4 linked regions of the Arabidopsis thaliana genome follow. The protein of the gene in region 2 interacts with the protein of the main gene of each other region in a pairwise test. Each region holds a gene or a part of one and is shown on either strand. Other genes may lie near its edges.

Region 1 (6,362 bases), on a different chromosome or scaffold from region 2:
TATTTGTCTTGTTATTCTTCTGCAAAGAATTGTGTTGAGTGGCAAATTGTTCCTGATTGGTTTCTCATTACCAAATTTGTACATGGATGTTGGATTAGTTGTTTGGGTCAGACCGGTACAATCCGGTTCGGTTTAAGACAATGTCGAAATTCGAAATATAACAAACCAAATGTTTTATAAGAAAAACAGGGAAGAGAAAACAAAAAAAGGTTTAAGATCTTCAAAACATGAAGAACATATGAGATTCTGAGGTTGTCTTTACACAAAGCCGTCTCTTTTAACCTTATTCTTCATCATCGACCATACGATTACAGTCGTCTTAGTTTATGATCTTCGTAAAGTGAATAACTTTTCATCCCTCGATTATTCTCTATGATAAACTGCGTTTAATTCTTTCAAAAAAAAAATCATTTCTTGCCCAAGTTTGGATCTTTTTGGCATCGTTAATCTCAATTCTCAAGACAGGTAGATTGGTGAGTAAAGGTTTCTTTTTAGCTTTGGTTAAATTCTGGGTTTGCCTTGTTTTCGGTCCACACTCAAATTAGGTTAAATTTCAATTCTTTCGAGGTTTCAGCTAGGTGCTTTAGCGGCAGTGAACGATGATCGGTCATAGGATCTCAAGATTGGGGTCTACTATTGTTAAACAGCTCGCAAGAGGTACTATCTGGTATCTGCTTTAAATCGATGCTCTTTGATGCGTTTGCTATATTGGTTTTGATGGAGTTTCTAATCTCACTTCGATTTCGAACTGCGTATGCGTATTTTAGTCCCTCATTCATGGGTTTTGCTAAAACATTGTCTGCCTACACAATGCTGCCTTAATATTTTGCTGCTCTTTCTATTTCTTGTTTTGGCAGAGGGATATTTAGCAACATACGGGACAAAGAATCTACACCGGTCTTATGGCCACTACTTGCAGTCTTTGGTTAGTCTGAGCTTGTTCTCGAGTTTTATACTCTCTTACAATCGATAATTTTGTTACTTCTTCATGTATAAACTCTCATTAATACTTAGAATAGGATTCTTTGTTAGAGTTCACTCTATTATCTGGCTAGGTAGAATCTCGTTAGTAATGTCATAAAGTGATCGCAGAAGAACGAAATGTAGCTTTTCTGCGCTTGTTTGGTGTTAGATGGATCTGTTAGTGACGATTCTAATGTGTCCAGTTGGAAAGAGTCCTATATTTGGTTTTGGCTCAAAGGCCTAAGAAAAGGCTTAAGGTGAGAAATTGGGTGGTCTATAATGGATGAATGAACAGAAAATCTTGGTTTTGTCACTCATAGATTCTGTTTTGTTTCCACATTGATGGTTGAATCTTTCTCGTTTCATCTTTTCGATAGCCAGTGGTACCAAGGCAAGCTAGGACTTCTCAGGAAGCCTGGTTTTTGAAGAGCCATAAGTTTTGTACTTCTTCAACAACTTCCTCTGAGAATGGTGATGAAGAAACTGAGAAGTAAGTTACTACCGAAATATTCATCCAGCGCTGAAGCAATATTTGCTGATAGTTTATCATAATTCTGTTGTTTTCAGGATAACCATAATCTTTGTTGATAAGGACGGAGAGGAAATTCCTGTTAAAGTACCAATTGGAATGTCAGTGCTCGAAGCTGCTCATGAAAATGATATAGACCTTGAAGGTGCACACTTCTCTTCCATTTTCTTCTCGTTTTCAATTGCTTACTCTCATAGCTTTAGATGGGTTCTATTAATTATATTGATCCTTTTTCGAATTGAAAATTCATGGATTGCTTTTACTTGATCTCCAGGGGCTTGTGAGGCTTCTCTAGCGTGTTCAACGTGTCATGTGATTGTGATGGTAAACATATTCTTCCATTATTAATAGATCGAATCCTCTGCTTTTCCGGAAACTAGCTAAGATTGTATTTACAGGATACTGAATACTATAACAAACTTGAAGAACCAACAGATGAAGAGAATGATATGCTTGATCTTGCTTTTGGGCTCACAGAAACGTAAAGTCCTCTCTTACTCTTAAAGCAAACACAAAACAAGAAGTCTAATTGTTTACTTTAATGAGAAAGTATCATATGTTCCCGGACAAATGTTTCAGGTCACGACTCGGATGCCAAGTCATTGCAAGACCAGAGCTAGATGGTGTGCGCTTGGCTATTCCTTCAGCAACAAGGAATTTCGCGGTTGACGGGTTTGTTCCAAAACCTCATTAGTTTCCGCAGAGATTCTTCGACTTGAGGCATTAATGATCAAAGAGCTGATTCATGTTTCTATTGGAGTTTTGATGATTGCTTACCGAGAGGAAACAGTTCTTAGACCTGAGGCATGAAATGATCAAAGAGATGATTATGTTTCTATTGGAGGACTTGATGATTTTTTTTATTACTTATCTTAGTTTTGATATTGGCATTTCTCGTTGTTGTCTGAGTTTCTAACAGAACAACAAGCGTTAAGCAAATTTTTTGGAGAATAAACTCAATTTCTTTCGTCAAAAGCAAGATGAAACAATCACCATCTTTGAAACTTTTCTGAGCTTAGAAATTGTTGAAAGACAAACAGCAAAAGACATCATTACAAACGGTAACATACTTCAAGGACACATAAAATCCATTGAAACTATGAGCTAACTTAAAACAAGTCATGAACAAGTTCGAAAAAAATTCACCTGCACGAAACCGATGCATCTAGAAATCAAACTGGTCATAGTCAGAAAAGTCACTAGCACCTGAGAAGTCATAGTAACCCTCAAAATCATCATCACCTGACATCAGATCGATATCAGAGAAGTCATAAGGGTCTTCGTCTTCTGATGAACCAATGTCGATATCATGAATCGAGTCATTAGGGTGTCTCACAACTTTGACACTCTCAAAACACCGCTTCTGCAAATCCCCAACAAGGTTAACATTGAAACACCGGCGTAAATCAAGATGTTCCAGGTTTGAGCAATTGTCAAGAATAGCGTTTAAACCGGTGTCTGACAACCCGTTCCCACAAAGCTGGAGATGGCGAAGTTTCGGCATTGTTTCAGCGATTGCTAGAGCATCATCGTCATTCTCCTTTTGAGGATGCTTGTTCAGCTTCAAAGTCTTCATATTTAAACAACACTGGCCTACAACTCTGAGAGACTCTACTGAAAATGAGCAGTATGACAACTCGAGTTCTTCAAGTGGAAGTTTCACAACTGCTTCGACAAATCCATCGTCTGTAATTTGAGAACACCTTATAAGTCTAAGGCTTCTCAGATTACTCGACCTGCAAATAATTGTGTGTAACAAAGTTAAAAACAACATCTAAGATAGAGAAGAAGAATGACAAAGATCCAAAACATCTTTTTTCTAGCATCCCATAAAAACCTGAACCTAACTATTCATACCTCAGAAGCATAACAATCTTATAATCAAGTGACTACTTACTACTCCAACATAGAATTTAGATACAATGTAACACAACACAATCATAAGCTACAAATAATTTCCCCAATTCTCACAAGAAATAGTAACTTCCACAACCAAAAACTGTTCTAACCCTAGAACAAACATATTGAAATCAAATCAATCCAAGTTCTCTAAACAAGGAATCAAAAACTCCTTTTGACGGAAATAAAAATTGGCGAAATTTTGAGTGGGAAAAGAGAGAACCTATGGGCGATGTAATTGAGGAGATCAACAGTACCAAAGTACCAAATACCGATATCAACCAAGCCTCCCTGGCTACGATCAACAGCGTGACGGCACATGATCTCGAGGTTGTAATCCATGTCGTCCAAATCTCCGAGGTTATGCATGTCAATTTTACGCCACATCGATGGGTCTTTACAAACACGACGCCAAGATCTGCAAACTTTCTGAGCGTTTTCAAGTATCTCAATCGCGCCAAGACGGTGCAGGATTGCTGAAGTCAGTTCCGGTGGAAGCTCCGTCCAGTTTGTAGATTCTCCGACCTCCATCGCCGCCGGGGGTGAAGACGAAGAAGCCATTTCTAAGTATCGAATTGTCAAGAATTATCATCAGTCTCTAATTTTACAATTAGATCCTTATGGTATCACATATCTACGAAACCAGTTTGGGCCAAGCCTAGTTTAATATTGGGCCTTGGCCTATAATTATATTGTACCCACAGCAAAAGTTGGCAAGAGCAACAAAAAACAAATGTTCTCTCCATTGTTTAGGATAGGCCTCGGCTAATAAACCGAACCGAATGTACCAAACCGAAACCAAACCAAATCGAACCGAAAATTGAAAAATAACCGAAGGGAAACTAAATTCTATAACCGAAAGAACCGAAACCGAATGGATAATAACCGAAATATTTTGGGTAACCGAAATATGTTGGGTAACCGAAAATATCCGGAATATAAATATATTTTTAAAAATATTAGTTATTTCTATACTAAATAACTAAAAATAGTTGAAAATATATACAAAATGGTAAACGTATTTGAAAAATAACCGAAAATATCCAAAAATATCTAAAAATATTCAAAAATAACCGAAATATCCGAAAATATTCAAAGCAAAATAACAAAATGGATATTAAATTTTAAAACCGAAAGAACCAAAACCGAACCAAACTTTCAAAATAACCGAATAGATACTAAATTTTAGAACCGAAAAACCGATAACCGAATGGATATAACCGTAACCGAATGGATAAATGAATGTGCAGGACTAGTTCAGGAAGATTCAATATCTAATACCAATAATAGTCATTGGCATCATAGAGAAAAGAGGAGACATGATCACATGGAACGAGTTCAAAAGTTGATAAGACGATTAAACCCAACCCTGTTTTTCTCAGAGTATCCACATGTCTTCATCAGCTGAAGCACAACTCACACACCATTATATGGGTAATCTGCGGTTGAGTCACCGGGGCGTCTCAACTCTTTGATCATCTCCAAACATCGCTTCTCAAGATTCCCGACAAGGCTAATCCTGAAACACTTGCGTACATCAAGGTGTTCCAGGTGAGGACAACCGTCGAGAATGGCATTCAAGCCTGTGTTGGTTAGTCTGTTAGCCATAAGCTGGAGGTGGTGTAGTTTGGGCATGCTTTCAGCAATTGCTAAAGCATCATCATCACATTCGAGAGGCCCCATATCGTCTAACACGTTGCTGTCATACTTGTCACTGGCTGGCCATAGGCGGCCTAAGGAGTTTAGCTTCAATGTCTTTAGCTGTGGGCAAGCGTGGCCTATAGCTTTTAAATCCAGTTTTATACATGAGTGAGTGACCTCGAGGGTTTCAAGCAATGGAATTTTTGCAATTGCGTTCACAACTCCTAGTTTCGTCACCCTTGGAAAGCACATTCCAAGTCCAAGACTTCTCAGATTCCTTGATCTGCAAATATATGAGTTAAATCATAAACTATAAGAAGAAGAAGAGCAATATGTTCTTAAAAAAAACAATAATAATAATATTAGAAATTCTCATAGTACTAATCAACTTAGAAGCATGTAATTAACAAACCATTTGTTTCAATTGGGACCTAAAAGATCAAACTCTAAAGATGCTTTAAGCAAGTCTATGATAAGAATTCTATAAGTTGATAATCTTCTAATCTTTTTATAATTATAATAACCTAACTACTTTTTTCATTATTACCATGACAAAGGACAAGTAATTATGTATGATATAACAGTAACTATGTGAAACAAAACAAGACCCGATCGAATAAGGACTATATTATAACATCATCATATCAACGGTGACTTCAAAATAAAACTGATGCTTTAAAATAGTATGCATATCTAATCATATCTATGCATACATTCTCGAGTAAAAGTAAATGTATACATATATATCCAAATTCCTTGGCTTAAAAGATCAAAGTGTAATGATGCTTTAAGATAGGATCTATCATAAGAGTTTTATAAGGTAATGATATTCTTATATATGCTAATAACCTAATTACTTGTTTTCTATAACCATGACAAGTAAAATATATATATGATGATGATGATAGAGTAATAACGGTGTGAAACAAAACAAGACTAGAATAGTGTAAGAACAAAGGACTATTATAAATTTATATATAGCAGCGTCATAGCATAGAAATTAGCCTCATATCTAAAACACTATTAAGGCATGAAAATCTAAAACAACTACTATCTAAAAACACTATAAAAGCATGAAAATTATCCTTCATATATATCTGTTTATATCTAACCCAAACGTAGTAAAAGAATATCCAAAGTCCATTCATAGCAGACCGCCAGATCCGGTAAAAGGAAAAAAACATGATAAACTGAGTTTAATTAACACATAATAAACCGAACGAAATCAACGATTATAAGTTATCAAATTTTTGCCCTAGCTAATCCTCAGGAGAAAAATGAACAAACACATTTTAGAGATTTCTTTTCTGTCAAAATATATGTACTAGGA
Region 2 (5,301 bases):
ATATATATATAAAGACATACAACTATACAACTAAACTCTCTTGTGACTTACTTGACACAATACAATGACAAAACTGTAGAGGAAATCAGTAACAAGAAGGAATAGTTAAGAAGAGCAAAACTAATTACACAGTTACACACGACATAAGTTATTGGCAAGTACTTGTGAATTCAATAATCCAATAATGACATATATATTTCATTCATTGTGTATTGTAAAAAACTTTTGTATTCATATGTAATTGTTTTGATTAAAATTGTGAGCTGAAGTTTCCTATTTGGAACTTTGTGTTTGTGGTATTAATTAAGATCTAAAAAAAGTTAGAATCAAAGAGGTAGATATTACCGTGTAATACTATCAATTGCGTAAGACGTGATATTTATGCATTCATTTATAAAACATCATCGTAGTGCATTTTTGATGAAAAAGTTTATTTGGAAAAATGGAGTCCAGTAGATAAAAAAAAAAAAAGAATTACATAGAAACTTAGGAGTAAACACTGTAAAACACGAATTTCCAAAAAAAAAAAAAGAAGTTGTAGTTATAATTTAAAAGACACATATAAAAAATAATTTAGTGGAAATTAAAACAACATAACATGAGTAGATAACTTAATGATTGTGTGACTTACTTGACACGATACATCATACATGTATCTATGAAAGTTAGGGCTTACATACTAACTTACAAGTAAACACATGAAAAAGTTGTGGTTTTAATCAAAAAGACACATAAAAAAAGACTTTAGTGGAAGAACAACATCAACATGAGTAGACATACAATACAACTTCAAGCTTTCGTGACTTACTTGACACGATACATGCATATATGAAAGTTATTAGGGCTTATAAATAGACAAACGCATAGGTTCATAACTTCATTACCTTATTACTCAATCATTTACTCAATTCTTCAATCTTCCAGAGAAAAAATCTCCCCCACTGAAAAAATAATGTCGACGAAGAAGATCATATTGAAGAGCTCCGATGGTCACTCATTCGAGGTCGAAGAAGAGGCCGCACGCCAATGCCAGATTATCATAGCTCATATGAGTGAAAATGATTGTACCGATAATGGAATCCCTCTTCCAAACGTGACAGGCAAGATTCTTGCGATGGTGATCGAGTACTGCAACAAGCACCACGTCGATGCCGCTAATCCTTGCTCCGACGATGATCTCAAGAAGTGGGACAAGGAGTTCATGGAAAAAGATACATCCACGATCTTTGATCTCATCAAGGCTGCGAATTACCTAAACATCAAAAGCCTTTTTGATCTAGCATGCCAAACCGTCGCGGAAATCATCAAAGGCAACACTCCTGAGCAGATTCGCGAATTCTTCAACATTGAGAATGATTTAACACCTGAGGAAGAAGCAGCGATTCGTAGGGAGAATAAATGGGCTTTTGAATGAGCGGATTATCAAAACCTAAACAGCTTTCTTTCTTTTCTTTTCTTTCTTATTTAGTGTGTGTTTCGTTATCAATCTAGGTGATGGTGACTTCATCTACGTACGATAATCCAATAATGGAAGCAGCTGCTTTCTTTCTTTTCTTTTCGTTTTCTTCTTTAGTGTGTGTTTTTAATATCTTGATCAATGTAGTTGATGATGAGTTCATCAAAGTTCAATAATCAAATAATGAAAGTAGACATATATTTCGTTTGTTGTGATGATACTTACAAAAATACTCTTCTTTACTCGATAAAATACTTTTGCATTCCTCTGTTTTTTTTAATTAAATTTCTGACAGGTTATGGCTTGTTAATCTTATAAAATGTGTTTAAAATTATACAAAATTCAGGCGAAATATTAAAAGCTAAATAGATTTAACTAAAAAAAGTTATATATATTGACATATTTCTTTTCTAAAAAATTGAGATCTATACAATATTTTTTAACGAAAAACAAAAACTGCAATATAATATATATATTTATAGATGCGTATAAGATATAGACATATTCAAATTTCAGACTTATTCGTAAAGCAACAATGAAGTAATGAACTTAATTTCGTATAACTACTGGATTTTGATTTTATTATAAAGTAAAATTTCATATAATTGAATAAATTCTTATATTTTTTATGCGAAAAAACAGTGGATGAGTTTTTTTTTTTTAATTAAAATTTAAAACTGTGTGCGGAAGTTACTTAATTGGAACATTTTTGGTATACATTAAGAAATGACAAAGAGATATGGAAAATATAAAATCAAAGACCATATATTGAAAGTATTAAAACACATGAAATTTCAAATAAAGGTTACAGATTATATAACCTTTCAATGTTAATGATTTTGTGACTTAATTGACACGATACATCATACATGTATCTATGAAAAAGTTAGGGCTTACATACTAACTTACAAGTAAACACATAAAAAAGTTGTTGTTTTAATCAAAAAGACACAAAAAAAAATATACTTTAGTGGAAGAACAACATCAACATGAGTAGACATACAACTTCATGCTTTCGTGACTTACATGACACGATACATGCATCTGTGAAAGTTAGGGCTTATAAATAGACAAGACTCATTTTCATTACCTTATTACTCAATCATTCTCTCAATTTTTCAATCTTTCATCAAAATTTCTTCCAGAGAAAAAAAAATCTCCCCCACAAAGAAAACAACAATGTCGACAAAAAAGATCATGTTGAAGAGCTCAGATGGTAAAATGTTTGAGATTGAAGAAGAGACCGCACGCCAATGCCAGACCATAGCTCATATGATTGAAGCCGAATGTACGGATAACGTAATCCCGGTTTCAAACGTGACAAGCGAGATTCTTGAGATGGTGATCGAGTACTGCAACAAGCACCACGTCGATGCCGCTAATCCTTGCTCCGATGAGGATCTCAAGAAGTGGGACAAGGAGTTCATGGAAAAAGATCAATACACGATCTTTCATCTCATGAATGCTGCGTATGACCTACACATCAAAAGCCTTCTTGCTCTAGCTTACCAAACAGTCGCGGATATGGTCAACGACAATAAATGGGCTTTTGAATGAGCGGATTATCAAAACCTAAGAAGCTTTTCTTGCTTTTCTTTTCTCTCTTTTAGTGTGTGTTATTCAGTTTCGTTATCAATGTAGATGATGGTGACTTCGTCTACGTTCGACAATCTAATAATGAAAGAAGCTTTCTTTCTGTTCTTTTTTCTTTTTCTTTCTTCGTTAGTGTGTGTTTTTCAATTTCTTGATCAATGTAGTTGATGATGACTTCATCAAAGTTCAATAATCAAATAATGAAAGTAGACATATATTTCGTTTATTGTGATACTAAAAAACATACTCTTCTTTGCTCGATGAAATACTTTTGTATTCCTATAATAAAAAGTAGTTGTGGTTTTAATCCAAACACATAAAAATATTAAATATATCAAAGAAACTATATTTCGTTTATTTGTATACTAAAAAACTTTTGTATGCATATATAGAATTGTTTTGGTTTAATTTTGGTAGGTTTTGGGTTGTTTAACCGTATAAAATGTATTAAAAATGATACTTACTGTTTAACAGAAAATGATACGCTTTTACATTTTTAGTATCAAGAAAAACAAATAGATATAGAAAAAGAGACAAAGACTATATTTTTTTTTTTTTGTTAAAGTGAAACAAAGACTATATTACCGTCCGTGTAATACGATGATGAAATGATTTCTTTTTTTACATGGGTTTGTTGCAAAACAATTATTAAAACATTTGAAATTTCAACTAAAGGCCGTATTCAAATGCGTTGTCCTGAGTTCTGACTTAAGCATCATTGATCGAGTCTCTTAGTATAGTCTGAAACTTGAAACTTGTTTTTCATTTTTCTTTGATTGTGTCTAAATTAAAGTTTGATATACATTTGGAGTTAGATATTACTGCGAGGGCCTCTATCAATTGCCGTGTAATACTATCAATTGCGTAAGACGACGTGATATTTATGCATGCAATTATAGAAAGTTTGAAGACGCGTTAATGTGTATAAAACAACATCGTATAGTGCATTCTTGATGAAAAAGTTTATTTGGGAAAATTGAGTCCAGTATATAATAATAAAAAACAAAGAATTAAAAGAAGAATTATATAGAAACTTAGGAGTAAACACTGTAAAACACGAATTTTCTAATTAAAAAAAAAGTTGTAGTTATAATCTAAAAGACACATAGAAAAATACTTTAGTGGAAATTAAAACAACATAACATGAGTAGATAACTTAATGATTTTGTGACTTACTTGACACGATACATCATACATGTATCTATGAAAGTTAGGGCTTACATACTAACTTACAAGTAAACACATAAAAATGTTGTGGTTTTAATCAAAAAGACACATAAAAAAAAGACTTAATGGAAGAACAACATCAACATGAGTAGACATACAACTTCATGCTTTCGTGACTTACTTGACACGATACATGCATCTATGAAAGTTAGGGCTTATAAATAGACAAGACTCATAGGTTCATAACTTCATTACCTTATTACTCAATCATTTTCTCAATTCTTCAATCTTTCATCAAAATTTCTTCCAGAGAAAAAAAACAAATCTCCCCCACAAAGAAAACAACAATGTCGACGAAAAAGATCATGTTGAAGAGCTCCGAGGGTAAAACGTTTGAGATTGAAGAAGAGACCGCACGCCAATGCCAGACCATAGCTCATATGATTGAAGCCGAATGTACAGATAACGTAATCCTGGTTTTAAAGATGACAAGCGAGATTCTTGAGATGGTGATCGAGTACTGCAACAAGCACCACGTCGATGCCGCTAATCCTTGCTCCGACGATGATCTCGAGAAGTGGGACAAGGAGTTCATGGAAAAAGATAAATCCACGATCTTTGCTCTCACCAATGCTGCGAATTTCCTAAACAACAAAAGCCTTCTTCATCTAGCAGGCCAAACCGTCGCGGATATGATCAAAGGCAACACTCCGAAGCAGATGCGCGAATTCTTCAACATTGAGAATGATTTAACACCTGAGGAAGAAGCAGCGATTCGTAGGGAGAATAAATGGGCTTTTGAATGAGCGGATTATCAAAACCTAAACAGCTTTCTTTCTTTTCTTTTCTTTCTTATTTAGTATGTGTTTCGTTATCAATCTAGGTGATGGTGACTTCATCTACGTTCGATGATCCAATAATGAAAGCAGCTGCTTTCTTTCTTTTATCTTTTTTTTCTTTGGTGTGTTTAAGTGTTTTTCAATTTCTTGATCAATGTAATTGATGATGACTTCATCAAAGTTTATTAATTAAATAATGAAAGTAGACATATATTTCGTTCTTTGTGAAAGTAAAAAATACTCCTT
Region 3 (5,807 bases), 1.7 Mb from region 2:
TTTCATACAAGAATCAACTTAGTAATTAATTAAAAAGCAAACTTGAGTGTAATGCAAAGAAGATTTCTATTGAAAAAAAAGACCAGTTCTTTAGTTAATTAAAAATGACATTGCCAAAGAAAAAAAAAAAGAGAGAGCAAGATGCATTGACTAATTTCGATTTTTTCTTTTACGTCTTCTGCGTTTAGGTATAACTGTAGCTTGCGGGATTTGAACCAAACTTGGAACGTAGTTGAAAACAAATGGCCTGTGTGATCTTATTGGAGAATCTCCGACATATAATTCTCTGTAATATTTATCCTCTCCAATAATGTAGAACATGCGTCTGCTAGTCTCATTGATGCCTCCTATATAACCATCACAAAACACGGCCATTTTCTTCTCCTCGTCGATGAAGAAACTCACACAAGACCAATGATAACAAGTACGTTGATCAATTGCTAAGAACTTGATCCACAACAAGTTTTTGGTCGTGTGATCAATCTTGTCATTGGTCGTCACCCAAATCTCCCTCTCTAGAGTATCATTCCTCTTAAGTAATACTGAAAGTTGCTTTTCTCTAACAACTGATAGAGCTTCAGTTTCATAGTCAGATTTCAGAATCGGAAGATTCAAGCGTTGATATCTTTCTATTGAGAAATCAAACCTTAGTATGAGATCTATATCTCGTTTTTCATCGGAAGCTAGCCAGTAAGTATTTCCTTTCAAAGACACCTCTCCTTCTGTGAGGCAGTAGGGATTAACTTCATCAATAAACCTCCATGAATCAGAGCTAAAGTCATAGATTTCGAACTCACTAACTCGGTAGTTAGACATGTAAAAATTCCAGTACCTCAAGATTTTGTAGCTATGGCGAGAGTTGTTGTTGACGTACCCAAGAACAAACTCAGAGTTAGTCTTGTAATGTATACTGTGTTGGACCCGCCTGGTTTGGCCAGTACAAGGGTTCCAAACCTCAAGTCTATCGTCTTTGGTGGTGCATAACAATAAACCATCGCAGTGAAAGATTCCAGATATTTGCATCTGTGGCCCAACTACACCCTTCAACTCTATAGATGGAGCAGCGATGTTATTGTGAATTTCATTGAGATTGACGCTCACTGAGGAAACCCTACAATCCTTCAACATTAGAACTAGAAACTGCTTTGCTGCTATAACAGAGTGCTTCTCCGTGAATCTTTGGTCTTTGTAGCAATTGTTCCATGATTTGCAAGTAGATCGTAATCGTTTCAAAGATGTTGCTGGAACCCTTGAGAGTATTTCCTCTACTAAATCCAGTGGAAGATTTGACATCATCTTGTCCCGAGGAAGAAGAAGAAAGCGACTTCGGCCCTGTATACCGACCTTTATACCCTAAGAAACTAGGGTTTTGACTTTCTTAATAGACAAACAAGTAACGATTAATTACGCTTTTTAACCTTTTCTTCCTACGTGGTCTCTTTTCCTTTTTTTTTTTAACATCCTACGTGGACTCTATTTGCTAATTTTACTTCTTCTTCTTTTTTTCCTTTCCAATTTAATTTTTATTTTTTAGCGTGTTAACATTTCCACTAACTTGAAATCTTGATAAATGTATTGATTTGTAGAAAAAGAAAAAGAGTTTGTTCCTAGTTTGTATCTCGTTAAGAATTGATAATAATTTGAGAAGGAAAAAAAAAATGATATCATATCATGACTTTTTTTTTTGGTTTTTAATAATTGTTGAATTACCGCCGTTGTCTGATATAATGCGTCTGAAGGGTACCAAACCACGAGTCGTTATACCAAACAGTCTAGAGTTTATCAAACTTGCCAGCTATATATATGTTGGTTCATTAGTTGAATTTGAAAATAATGCAAAGAATAAAGGAACGAGAAAGTAACGAAAACAAAAAATGATCAATTCATTAATTAAGTAATGAAAGGACATTGACTAAGGAAACCAATACATATTAAAAAAAAAAAACGGAGGAGATGCAACAAATTACAACCTTCAATCTTGATTTTAACTTGAGAAATCTTTTCGCTTTCTTTTCCTTGTAGATATCAGTCCACTTTGCTTGATTTGAACTAAACTTGGAACATAGTTGCATAGATATGTCCTACCTAATTCGTATGATTCTGGAAAGTAGAATTCTCTGTAGACTTTATCCTTCCCAACAATTAATACCAATGACTTGTAGGTATTTTCTCTGTGTTTATCATAACACAAAATGATATTCTTTTTCTCATCGATGAAGAAACTTAGGGGAGACTTCATCATCATGCTAATAGGATAGTCTAACCTATTGATTAATCTCACTGTGAAGAACTTGCTCCATGACCAATCTGTGGTCTCATCAATTTTATTGGTCACCCATATATCCATCTTTTCTGTATCAAAACTCTGATGTAACACTGAGAGTTGTTCTTCTCTAAAGGCTGATAGAGCCCTAGAATCATTGTAGTCAAATATGTGAAACGGAAGAGGAAGTTTCTGAAACGTTTCTGATGAAAAATCAAAACGTCGTATGAAGTAGTGTGTTTTTGTAATTGTAGCAAACCAATAACTATTTCCTTTGACAGACACACTCCTACCTTCTATGATGCAGTTGGGATTAACATCGAGAACCCTCCATGAATTAGAGCTAAACTCAAAGATTTCATACTCAAACTGCTGTCCTTTTATTTTTTCGCAAACCCTCAGGATTTTGTAGTTATTAAGGCAAGAAGACTTGCTGTTGTCATATCCAAAAGCAAAGGTATCACACATCCTACGATTCCTGCGTTTGATCCACCTGGTTTGACCGGTACAGGGGTTCCAAACCACGAGTCTAGTGTTACGCTTCGTGGAGCATAATATTAAACCGTCGCAGGGATAGATTTGTGATATTTCGAAATCGTTTAAATCGTTTAGACTGCTAAGTTTACCTTTGAACTCCATAAGTAGATCAATGTTGTTGTTGTGAAGAAGTCCATGCAGATTTGAGCTCATTGAATAAATCCTAAAATCCTTCAATGTGAGACCCAGATATGTCTTCGGTGCTTTATCACGGTGCTTCTTACTGAATCTTTGATCATTAAACAAAGCATTCCATTGTTTGCAAGTATATCGTAATCGTTTTAGAGATATAGCCGGAACCCTAGAGAGTATCTCCTCTACCAAATCCTCTGAAAGATGAGGCATCATCATAGTTTCTCTTGTGAATTTCAACGTAGAATGACATAGAAATTAGGGTTTCAACGTACGTTTTGCAGTCTTATATATATAGACAAATATAAGATGACCTCCCTCAAATATTTGTTTTTTCCTTTTTCCTAGATGGATTCTGTTTACTAAAATAGCAGATTTACATATCGTATACTTTTGTATTTTTGTGAGGATTGTTAAAGGCTTTAACTTAAAGCCTAAAAACGTTTTGAATTTCCTTATTTGTGCTCTTTCTTTCTTAGTTTTTTTTTTTGGGTGCTCTTCTCTCTTTAGCAAAGTTCATAATTATCAGGAAAATGGAAAAATTGAAAGTAATGCAAAAGAAGAAAAGAACCATAAAGTAACGAAAAAAGGAAAATGATACAAGAGAAAAAGGATCAATTCATTAATTAGTCGAAGGACATGACGATGATAACAAAAAAAGAAGAAATTTATAGAGGAGGTTCAAGCAATTGAATTATTTTAAACGAACGAATACTGAGATATTGCTAGATTTGAACTAAACTTGGAACATAACAGAACATTTGTGGCCAAAATGGTCCATCTTCAAGATCCACAATTCTCAATCTATCTTGTCCAATAATGTATACAATGCTGTGTATGTCATCACTATCATCGGGTACATCCTCACTAAACACGGCGGCTTTATTCTCCTCGTCAATGAAAAAAGTTACACCATTATAAAACCGATGAGTGTATAAGTCAACTCTTAAAAATTTGCTCCAAGACGTGACAATGGTGTCAGTGATATCATTTGTCACCCATATCTCCATCGTTAAAGAATCTTCTTCATGAAACAAGACTGAAAGCCGCTCTTCTCTTACAGAAGATAGTGAGATCACATCGCTATACCAACTAGTTTGAAACGGAAGGCACACATGTGGCCCAAATCTTTCTCTTGTAAAATCAAAACTTGTTAAGAAACAATTGACTAATTCTCCATCTACTTCATGATCATCTATAACGATCCAATAAGTATTCCCCTTTACTGACATGCCTTGGCTACCTATGTCTAGTTCGAAGTCTATTTCGACACTATCAAGAACCCTCCATGAACTCGAATTAAACTCGTAGATTTCCAACTCAAAATTAGTTCCATCATCCAAGAACCTTAGGATTTTGTAATCACGGCACAAATTTTTGTTTTCGTATCCGAGAGCATACTTATGGTATCTAGTGTTAGCACTTTCAGTTTGGATCCACTTGGTTTGACCCGTACAAGGGTTCCAAACCACGATAGTGCTAGTGTTGGTGAATAGCAATAACCCGTTACAGTGAAAGACTTCAAAACTCTCGACTTTACCTGAATTACAAAGGAGACCTTTTAGGTTAAGTTCACGCTTTAGCTCTATAGAAGGATCAATGTTGTCATGAAGTCCATGGAGATTGACACTCATCGAAGAAACCCTAAGACTCCTTAACAACATATCCAAATACTCCTTTTCTGCTGTATCAAAGTGCTTCTTGATGAATCTACGATCATTTAATATTGCGTTCCACTGTTTGCAAGTAGATCGTAATCGAACTAGAGATGTCGCTGGAACCCTAGAGAGTATATCCTCTACCAAATCTTCGGTAAGAACGGACATGGGAGAAGATTGTAATGTCATCATTGCGATCTCACAAGGAATAAAGAAGCTACGTACAAGGGCTGCAGACTAAAAATTGGGGTTCTAATATTTTAGGTTTGACGTACGTGCTCGTCTTATGTAGACAAAAATAAGTTGAGTTTATAATTTGGGCTTATTGAATCATGGATTTTAATTTATTTTTATTTTTAATGATTTTAGATTTGGTTGGATTTTGATAGGATTTAAAAATTTAATTGTGTCAATCATAAATTATATGTTAACAATTAACACCTATCTTTATTATATAAAATATAGTTTTCAAAATTAGTATCTCACATAATCATGAGACGTGTCAAGTCTATCGTTCAGATGTTGATATGTGTCAAAATAATTTTTTTTTAATTTTTTTCTTAAAAAAAACAACTTAAAAAAGAAATATATTTACATATAAACTTAGATCATATCTATATCTAAATAAATTAAATTATAATTTTCTTAACTAAAAAGAAAAACTAACAATAAGATGGAGTGTATAGAATTAAAATGTATTTGTATTGCAAAATCAAATTGTATTATGAATTTTATACAATCAAATTAAATTGTATTTATATTATACTAAAATAAATATTTAAGTTGTATTGCAAAATTGAATTTGTAAGATTGAAATTTGGTTTGAGGAAATACTAAATTAATATGGTTATATTATGCCACATGTCAAACTAATCAATCTTAGATTTTGACACGTGTTAAACAAAAATTTATTTATTTATTATTATTTTTTTAAAAAAATATAAGGAAACTATACAAATATCTTATTAAAAACGATTTCAAAAATGTTAAAGTTAAAATAATAAGGAAACTATATGTATCTTATTAAATAAAAATAGAAATTTTAAAACACATATAGATATATAAAAAACCATACATATACAGTATATGATAAATAATATATATAAGAAAACTATACATATATATATATATATATTTTAAAATGTGTAGAACAACATCATTAGAAAGAAACTATGATCTTATTAAATAAAATTAAAAATTAAAAAATGTTTAGTATC
Region 4 (6,578 bases), 6.9 Mb from region 2:
TCACCAAAATCAAAATCTGAAAGCAAATGGTTGATGAGGATCACTTAGAAGATTTTGTCTGTGTTTGACTATGGACTTTTAGAAAAGTGAGTTATGAAGCAGATCTTGAACTTGAATGTTATTTTGTTGGCAGGTTATACAGAGCCGTTGGATGATAATATTGAAGTATTGGTCCCTGATGATGACCATGGACTCTATGCAATTGACATTCTAGATCCCTCTTGGGTATAGTAAAGTAGCTAGATATTACTTTGTGCATTGGCTACTTGTATGCAGTTGTTAAGTTTAGGAGTGAGGATAAGTAAGATGGAAATTGTATCTGCAACCATTTTTGTATCATAAAGAAGGTTGCTAATGAGGACATTTCCGGTCTTGGAGATTTAGTATCTGTTCTTTCAAAGCTTTCTAGGGGTGCTCGTGTTCCATTGGAATATATGTCTCACACTGATCGTCATCGCAAGAAGGTGATATTTCTTGTTTAAACAATCTTTTTGCTTAACAAATCTCTGCTGTTATCTTAAAATCCTTGATGTCACCAAAAAGACACAGATTTTTGTGAATTTGTTATATGCTGCCAATGTTTACATTAAACGATTCTGTTTTCATCGAGTAAAAAACAGAGGATCAAAATACAACTTTTTGGAAAGTGATTTGACAATTTACTTTGTTTAACTCTCTTGATAACATCACTTCATAGGGATTGCTAACAGACTGTTTTATTTTTCAATGTTACAGCATCTGAATAATCTTCCATTTCGTTTTAAAAAAAACAGAGATTTTGATTTCTTCAGTCATCTGTTCTTGAGAGATCGCCTTGGTGGTGGTGATGAGTCTCTGAAATAGCCAACCATATACATTTAGACAACTGCCATTAGAATTCCACAAGGACAACCTATGACTGCAGCTTTCCATGAAAACATTGCTTCTCTGGCTGCTTGGTCTGTGTCGAGCATGGTTCTTGGATTTGCATTCCACATATTTTGTTGTTGTTTGCGTAAATGTTCGGATCGTTCAATCTGTCTAGCTGAGGACTCTCATGGATTCTACCTATAAGTTTGTTGTTGCTCAACTCCATACATTCAGCTCACTGAGCTTGGATAGTTTCTGCGGGATTTCGCCTGAGAGGTTATTGTGTGAAAGGTCTACCTTCTCAAGATTTCCAAAACTTTGTGGGATCAATCCAGAGATGTCGTTGTATGAGAGGTTTAAAAGCTTTAAGCTTTTGAGATTGCCTAAAGAATATGGGATTTCTCCGAATAGCTTGTTATGGAGAGGTCTATCAGAGTGTAGAGGCAGACGTTATTGTTGGCAAGACCTTGCTTTGAATTCTTCCAGTTCACTGCTAAGTTATGTATTACGATAGTGAAGCTGTATATGAAACGCAAAAGCGAAGATGAACTTACGAGAGATTCTTTCATGCCTGTATCCCAGGAGATGAAGGGAGAGATCCATCAAGATTGTTCTCAGAGAGATCCAAGACCTTGAGACTTGTGATATTTGATATGCCTTGCTTCTGTTCCTTAGGCCAAAATTTGTTCGATTCCGCAACTTCTTTTGTCCTAGGTTTGTCACCTCTGACTGATTCTTTGTTTATCTTAGGTACGTGGATCTCAAGGCATGCATAACTAGAATTGAAGAAAATGGATATGGAGCAAATCTTGCTCCTTGGCTCAGCTCCCCACCGGATAGGCTGCAGACAATGCAAATTGATTCTTACATAGCCCGAAAAGAACTCTCTGTTGCTGAATCAAAAGTACTGGAAAGAAATAATATCAAACTGTGTACATGAGAGCTGGATTTGGCGGGTACTGTTTCTCAAGGCAATGCTCGCTCACTAGACCGTTTTTCCGAGGTTAGCCAGTAGATTGGAAATGGTAAAACGTAAAAACAATTTCACAACTTAAAATCAATTTAACAGAATTCGATTATTTCAGTAAGAAAAACAAACAAGAGATTTTCATCTAGTGTACTACTTAAATGTAAAATGACTTAAGTCACTCTGAATCGTTTTCTTCTTGAGCTGAGCACAATGGAGACATCGTTGTTGCGAGGAAGCATTGGAACCATCTGACGCAACTCTACAAAACGTCTTCCTTTGATATAACCTTCCAACCTTGCGACAATCAACTCTAATGTTGATATGGTTTTAAGCACAAGTTGCAGAAACGAAGCCACTTGCTTTGACTCTACATTCCTGCGGGAAGTGTTCTTAAACTCCGAGCTCCAGGATGGATCCCAATTCAAGCCATGAGAATCCAAGTATATGTCAATATGCTCTTCCTGTAATGCAAGTATATTTCAATATGATGATTCAAAATTCGGGGTCAAGGAATATTCATAATTACCGGTATGGGATATGAGCCGGCAGACCCCATTGGGTGTATGGTTAGCTTCTTCAAGTCAGGCGAGTTTTGTAGCACCTTTACTATACCATGAATAACATATCGAGAGATCATTGTCTCAAGTATCAGAGCTTTAGCCTTCAACTTTGGAAAAGAAACACCACGGAGCTCGGCAAGAGATAACATCTATAACAAACAAAAAAAAACAGAAGACAAATGAGTGTATACCAAAAAACACACTAGTTTTCTTGAAAATCAGAGCCTAATTATGTAAACTAAATCAGGAGTGAAAACATATACCTTAAGAAAGTTTGCCCCCAAAGTAAGCTTCTCCACATTCTGACACTTTTCTAACATCTTTACCACCATGGTCTGATGAAAATCAGCCTCCAGTTTATTATCAACTATTGCGTAAGCGGTAATGTCTAGTTCAGCTTGGGATAAAGAGGAGACATCAACTAAAGCACATGGTTTCTCAGAGTTTATCAATCTGAGACAACGGATATGTGGTGCAACGAGCTGTGTTGGCTCCATTCGACATCTACGAGTGATTTCTAATGTTATCAGACGCGGTGATTTGCTGAGATCAAGGACCTTCAGTTTCTTGCAGAAAAACAACAATAAGCTTTCGAGAATGGGACAACCAGATAGAATAATAGCAATGGATTCATCAGAGATGTTGCAATGATACAATGACAGGTTCTTCAGGGATGTCCAAGACACAGAACATTTGGGATTCAGAGATATAAAATCCTTTTTGCAGCCGAAATCAAGGTAGAGTTGCTTGAGAGAGGAATTGATGTAAAGGAATTCAGGGATATCATATTTATCCTCATCGAGATACAGGGACAGATTCTCCACGTTTCGGGACATGGCGAAGTTGATCCAACTGTCGATGTCAGCATGCGTGTCGGGTCTGCTGATACAGGCTGCCCTGCAACAAGAACAGATACGAAAACTCATCATCTTGGGAGCCCTGTAGCGATCTAGGATTCTGTTAATACAAGGAGCATCCGGTCTGTCCCTATGGAAGGAGAGGGACCATGTATCAGACCATACATGCCTCCATCGCCTGGATAAAACGGAAGTTTTGATCGCCAATCTGGTTGGAAGATAGGAGAGAATTAGTTGGAGAATATCATCAGGCAACCTACTGATCAAGTCTCCAGCTTCTTTGAGATAGCTAGGGCTTGCGCATGTACTCTGCAATTTGTATAAATATCGCATCACCCACATAAGAGAAAAAGGATTGGATATTTGGATTATAGAGAGATATTACCTTAGAGGAAGAGAAAACAGTAGACGAAGCATCGGGTCTGGTCGAGTTTTCCTGACTTTCCTTCTCCATCTTTTCGGTTTCCGAGTTCACCTTTTCTTCTTGTATAAACTTTTAGATCTATTGACATCTATAATAAATTTTCGAAGATCACAATCTAAAAATGATATTTACCAATTTGTATATAATGATGATAAAAGGAAGGAAATATAGGGGAAATGAGTAAAGGAGAAGAAGGAGAAAGCAGTTACCAAAAATTAAATTACTGCCGGCACATATCTGCAGAGAAGGAAAGAATGAACAGTGATCAGCCTTGTGACAGCTTTGGCAGGAGTGTTGTCTGTGAGTTTCTGGCAGCAAGTGAATCCCCAAAAGCTTTTCATTAGTCTTCAATATACGCATCACATAACTTTCTTTTCGGTTTTTCTTTTCTAGGAACTCAAGTCCACTGGGCTCAAAAGCCTGTTGGATTACTATATACAGTAGTCCGATTTATCTCGTAGCTGCATCTGAAAACCTCTTGAGCGCAAAGAAACTAAATAGCAAAAGCCAAGGGAAGGCATGTACTGCACTAGATACATCACAAGCAGTACTGGCTGATAAATAGCAAAAAGAAGATCGTATATCAGCATCTAAACTGAGTGAAACATATGCGATTTTGACAAACAAGTACCTGATATGAAATCCAAGCTTCCTTCAAGCTATGAGACGCGGCGATTATAGTCAGTTCTGCATATCATTCAGATGACACACGCTTCTGTGTAGCAAAAGAAAAGATCTTTGAGTGGAAATAAAAAGAGAAAGAAGCCGGAGATAGAAGATCCTAATGTTGAAAAGGAAGAGGATTCTATGTGTCTACAAGACTGATTAGTTGCTTAAAGGAAAGGTACAAGTACAAAAAACTGACAACTTAATCAACAAATCACAATCAGTTAACCAACCTCATGAGACTTCTTGTCTTCCGAAGTTGATGTTCCTGTACCATTCAACGTTTCTATTGGACCAGGAATAACGACGGTCACTTTGATTCCCTCCTGACAGAACTGAAACCATAGGCAGATTGTGAACCAACTGTGAATTGTTACTTTATGGTGCTATTCTCAGCAATTAGTGAAAAGGAATGTAAAAGAAAAAATCAAATCAGAAAACTCTGAGGTAGCTGTGAGTTTTCTATTGTGACTTTCAATAAGTCATTAGCTGCCAAATAATTAGCAAGCACCACAGTTTCTTTAACTTTTAACATACCTCAGAACGCAAGCTGTGGAAGTAGCCGTGCAGAGCATGTTTTGAAGCAGAATATATAGCCTGTCCAGGTGATGGTACCTTTCCTGCAGCACTGCTTATCTATAGACTGACGTGAATTATTAATCATGACATTTAACCCAAGGAAATGGAAAATTAACACATACAAGAATAGCTAACCGTAGTTTGACTTCTCAAGATGTGTATACGGTAACATGATTTGGAATTTAGCAAGCAGAAGACAAAAATACAAAAGAAACCTTAAACTATCTATACATAGCTTAAAAGCCTTAGATTTAACATATAAAAAACGCAATGTATATCCATATCCATAAACTATGATATGAAGCTCAATCCTTCAACAAATCCACAAAATTAGGGCACTTAACAAAAACTATCCCTCGTTAGTCTCCACGTACCACAACAAAATGACCGCCTCCTTGTTTTAGCATATGAGGAGTGACCAACTTTATAAGAGTTATCGTCCCAAAGACATTGATATCGAATGTAGTCTGCACACAAAGTCATTGAATAATCATATGTCACCAAGCAAACCATTGTATGGCCTACGGATTTTATGCAATTAATTTAGTACATTGATAGTTTCCTCACTTGCATCCGATGCCTTGGATTTCTGCAAGAAAAAAAATATGATGATGAAACGACATAAAACTAAGGTACAGAGCATTTAAGGCAAAACCAACACAAATCTCAACCGTTCAAGGCTAAGACAAACCTAATGAAGAAACCTGACAAAAGCGTAGCCAGCAAATAGATTTGTATGAGGATGTTTTGATGGAGAAGGAACTTATAAGGATGCAGAGCTAATGCAATAAACTATTTCAAGATCAATGACGATTCTGATCACAATGCTGAGAAAAAACTAGAGAGTCAGTTTTAACAAGCATTTTGCAGAAGAAGGGAACTTACAAGAATGTTGAGCTTGCCACTGAATCAACTTATCCCTCTGATCTCTAACCGAACCAGACACCACTAAACCACTGGATTTGCAATCATTTAAGCATGCTTTTAGCTCTTCCTGTCTTGTAGTGTAGGAGGCTGCAGGAAGGCAAAGAAAAGCAACCAGTGACGCGATTTCCTCCGGTGCTGGTAATCTTAACTATGTTAACATATAACAGATCTTGCCTAATAGATGGAAAACTTACATGAGATCAACAAGCATCACTATATGGTTCAACAAAAAACCGTAAGCCTTCACATTACATGTATGGAATAGACAGATAGCTGATCATTCGAGGCAAAACCACCAAAAGTCTAAACCATTCAATCCTAAGACCAAACATATATAGAAACCTGATAAAAGTGTGGCAGAATGGTTCGAAGATTGTTCTATCGGATAAGAAACTTGCAAGGATACGAGCTAATGTGATATGTAGAATTTCAAGATTGGTGAAGATTCCAATGTGTAGAAAATTCAATAAAAAAAGCATAGAAAACAACAAATGTCTTTAGCATGAGAAGGGAACTTACAAGGATGTTGAGCTTGCCGCTGAAAGCAGAAGAAACTTCCTGAGTCAACTTATTCCTCTGATCCCTAACCATTTATGTGCAACTCCATAGTCAAACACAGACAAAATCTTCCAAGTGATCCTCATCAACCATTTGCTTTCAGATTTTGATTTTGGTGACAGGAATCGATTTGAGAAATAACCCCAAAACCTGAAATAGAATCAATTGTATCTAAAATGGGATTGAGA

Evidence for each region.
Region 1: the proteins of SK7 (region 2) and AT4G05460 interact in a two-hybrid assay, tested with the Arabidopsis thaliana proteins (one large-scale study listed by BioGRID).
Region 3: the proteins of SK7 (region 2) and AT3G17490 interact in a two-hybrid assay, tested with the Arabidopsis thaliana proteins (one study listed by BioGRID).
Region 4: the proteins of SK7 (region 2) and AT3G03360 interact in a protein complementation assay, tested with the Arabidopsis thaliana proteins (one study listed by BioGRID).

The regions. Positions count from the first base shown.
Region 1 is NC_003075.7:2,758,449-2,764,810, forward strand, and holds AT4G05460 (RNI-like superfamily protein), read right to left. Parts: upstream 3,998-6,362; 5' UTR 3,953-3,997; coding exon 3,615-3,952; intron 3,229-3,614; coding exon 2,658-3,228; 3' UTR 2,187-2,657; coding exon of another isoform or gene 2,072-2,186; 3' UTR 2,054-2,071; downstream 1-2,053. Other genes in the region: MFDX1 (mitochondrial ferredoxin 1), read left to right, coding at 600-657, 858-925, 1,341-1,453, 1,531-1,637, 1,767-1,816, 1,891-1,973, 2,072-2,186; AT4G05470 (RNI-like superfamily protein), read right to left, coding at 4,808-5,315. UniProt on the Arabidopsis thaliana protein: Component of SCF(ASK-cullin-F-box) E3 ubiquitin ligase complexes, which may mediate the ubiquitination and subsequent proteasomal degradation of target proteins.
Region 2 is NC_003074.8:7,693,202-7,698,502, reverse strand, and holds SK7 (SKP1-like 7), read left to right. Parts: upstream 1-2,566; 5' UTR 2,567-2,635; coding exon 2,636-3,013; 3' UTR 3,014-3,275; downstream 3,276-5,301. Other genes in the region: SK9 (SKP1-like 9), read left to right, coding at 953-1,414; SK8 (SKP1-like 8), read left to right, coding at 4,564-5,022. UniProt on the Arabidopsis thaliana protein: Involved in ubiquitination and subsequent proteasomal degradation of target proteins. Together with CUL1, RBX1 and a F-box protein, it forms a SCF E3 ubiquitin ligase complex. The functional specificity of this complex depends on the type of F-box protein.
Region 3 is NC_003074.8:5,982,171-5,987,977, reverse strand, and holds AT3G17490 (F-box and associated interaction domains-containing protein), read right to left. Parts: upstream 3,152-5,807; coding exon 1,985-3,151; downstream 1-1,984. Other genes in the region: AT3G17500 (F-box family protein), read right to left, coding at 174-1,293; AT3G17480 (F-box/associated interaction domain protein), read right to left, coding at 3,658-4,782.
Region 4 is NC_003074.8:792,330-798,907, reverse strand, and holds AT3G03360 (F-box/RNI-like superfamily protein), read right to left. Parts: upstream 4,003-6,578; 5' UTR 3,870-4,002; intron 3,749-3,869; 5' UTR 3,622-3,748; intron 3,546-3,621; 5' UTR 3,404-3,545; coding exon 3,402-3,403; intron 3,277-3,401; coding exon 2,643-3,276; intron 2,529-2,642; coding exon 2,346-2,528; intron 2,281-2,345; coding exon 1,990-2,280; 3' UTR 1,895-1,989; downstream 1-1,894. Other genes in the region: AT3G03370 (uncharacterized protein), read left to right, coding at 27-60, 134-225, 345-464, 1,025-1,203, 1,314-1,485; AT3G03350 (NAD(P)-binding Rossmann-fold superfamily protein), read right to left, coding at 4,355-4,375, 4,560-4,661, 4,864-4,962, 5,280-5,372, 5,456-5,532, 5,791-5,980, 6,175-6,210, 6,352-6,415.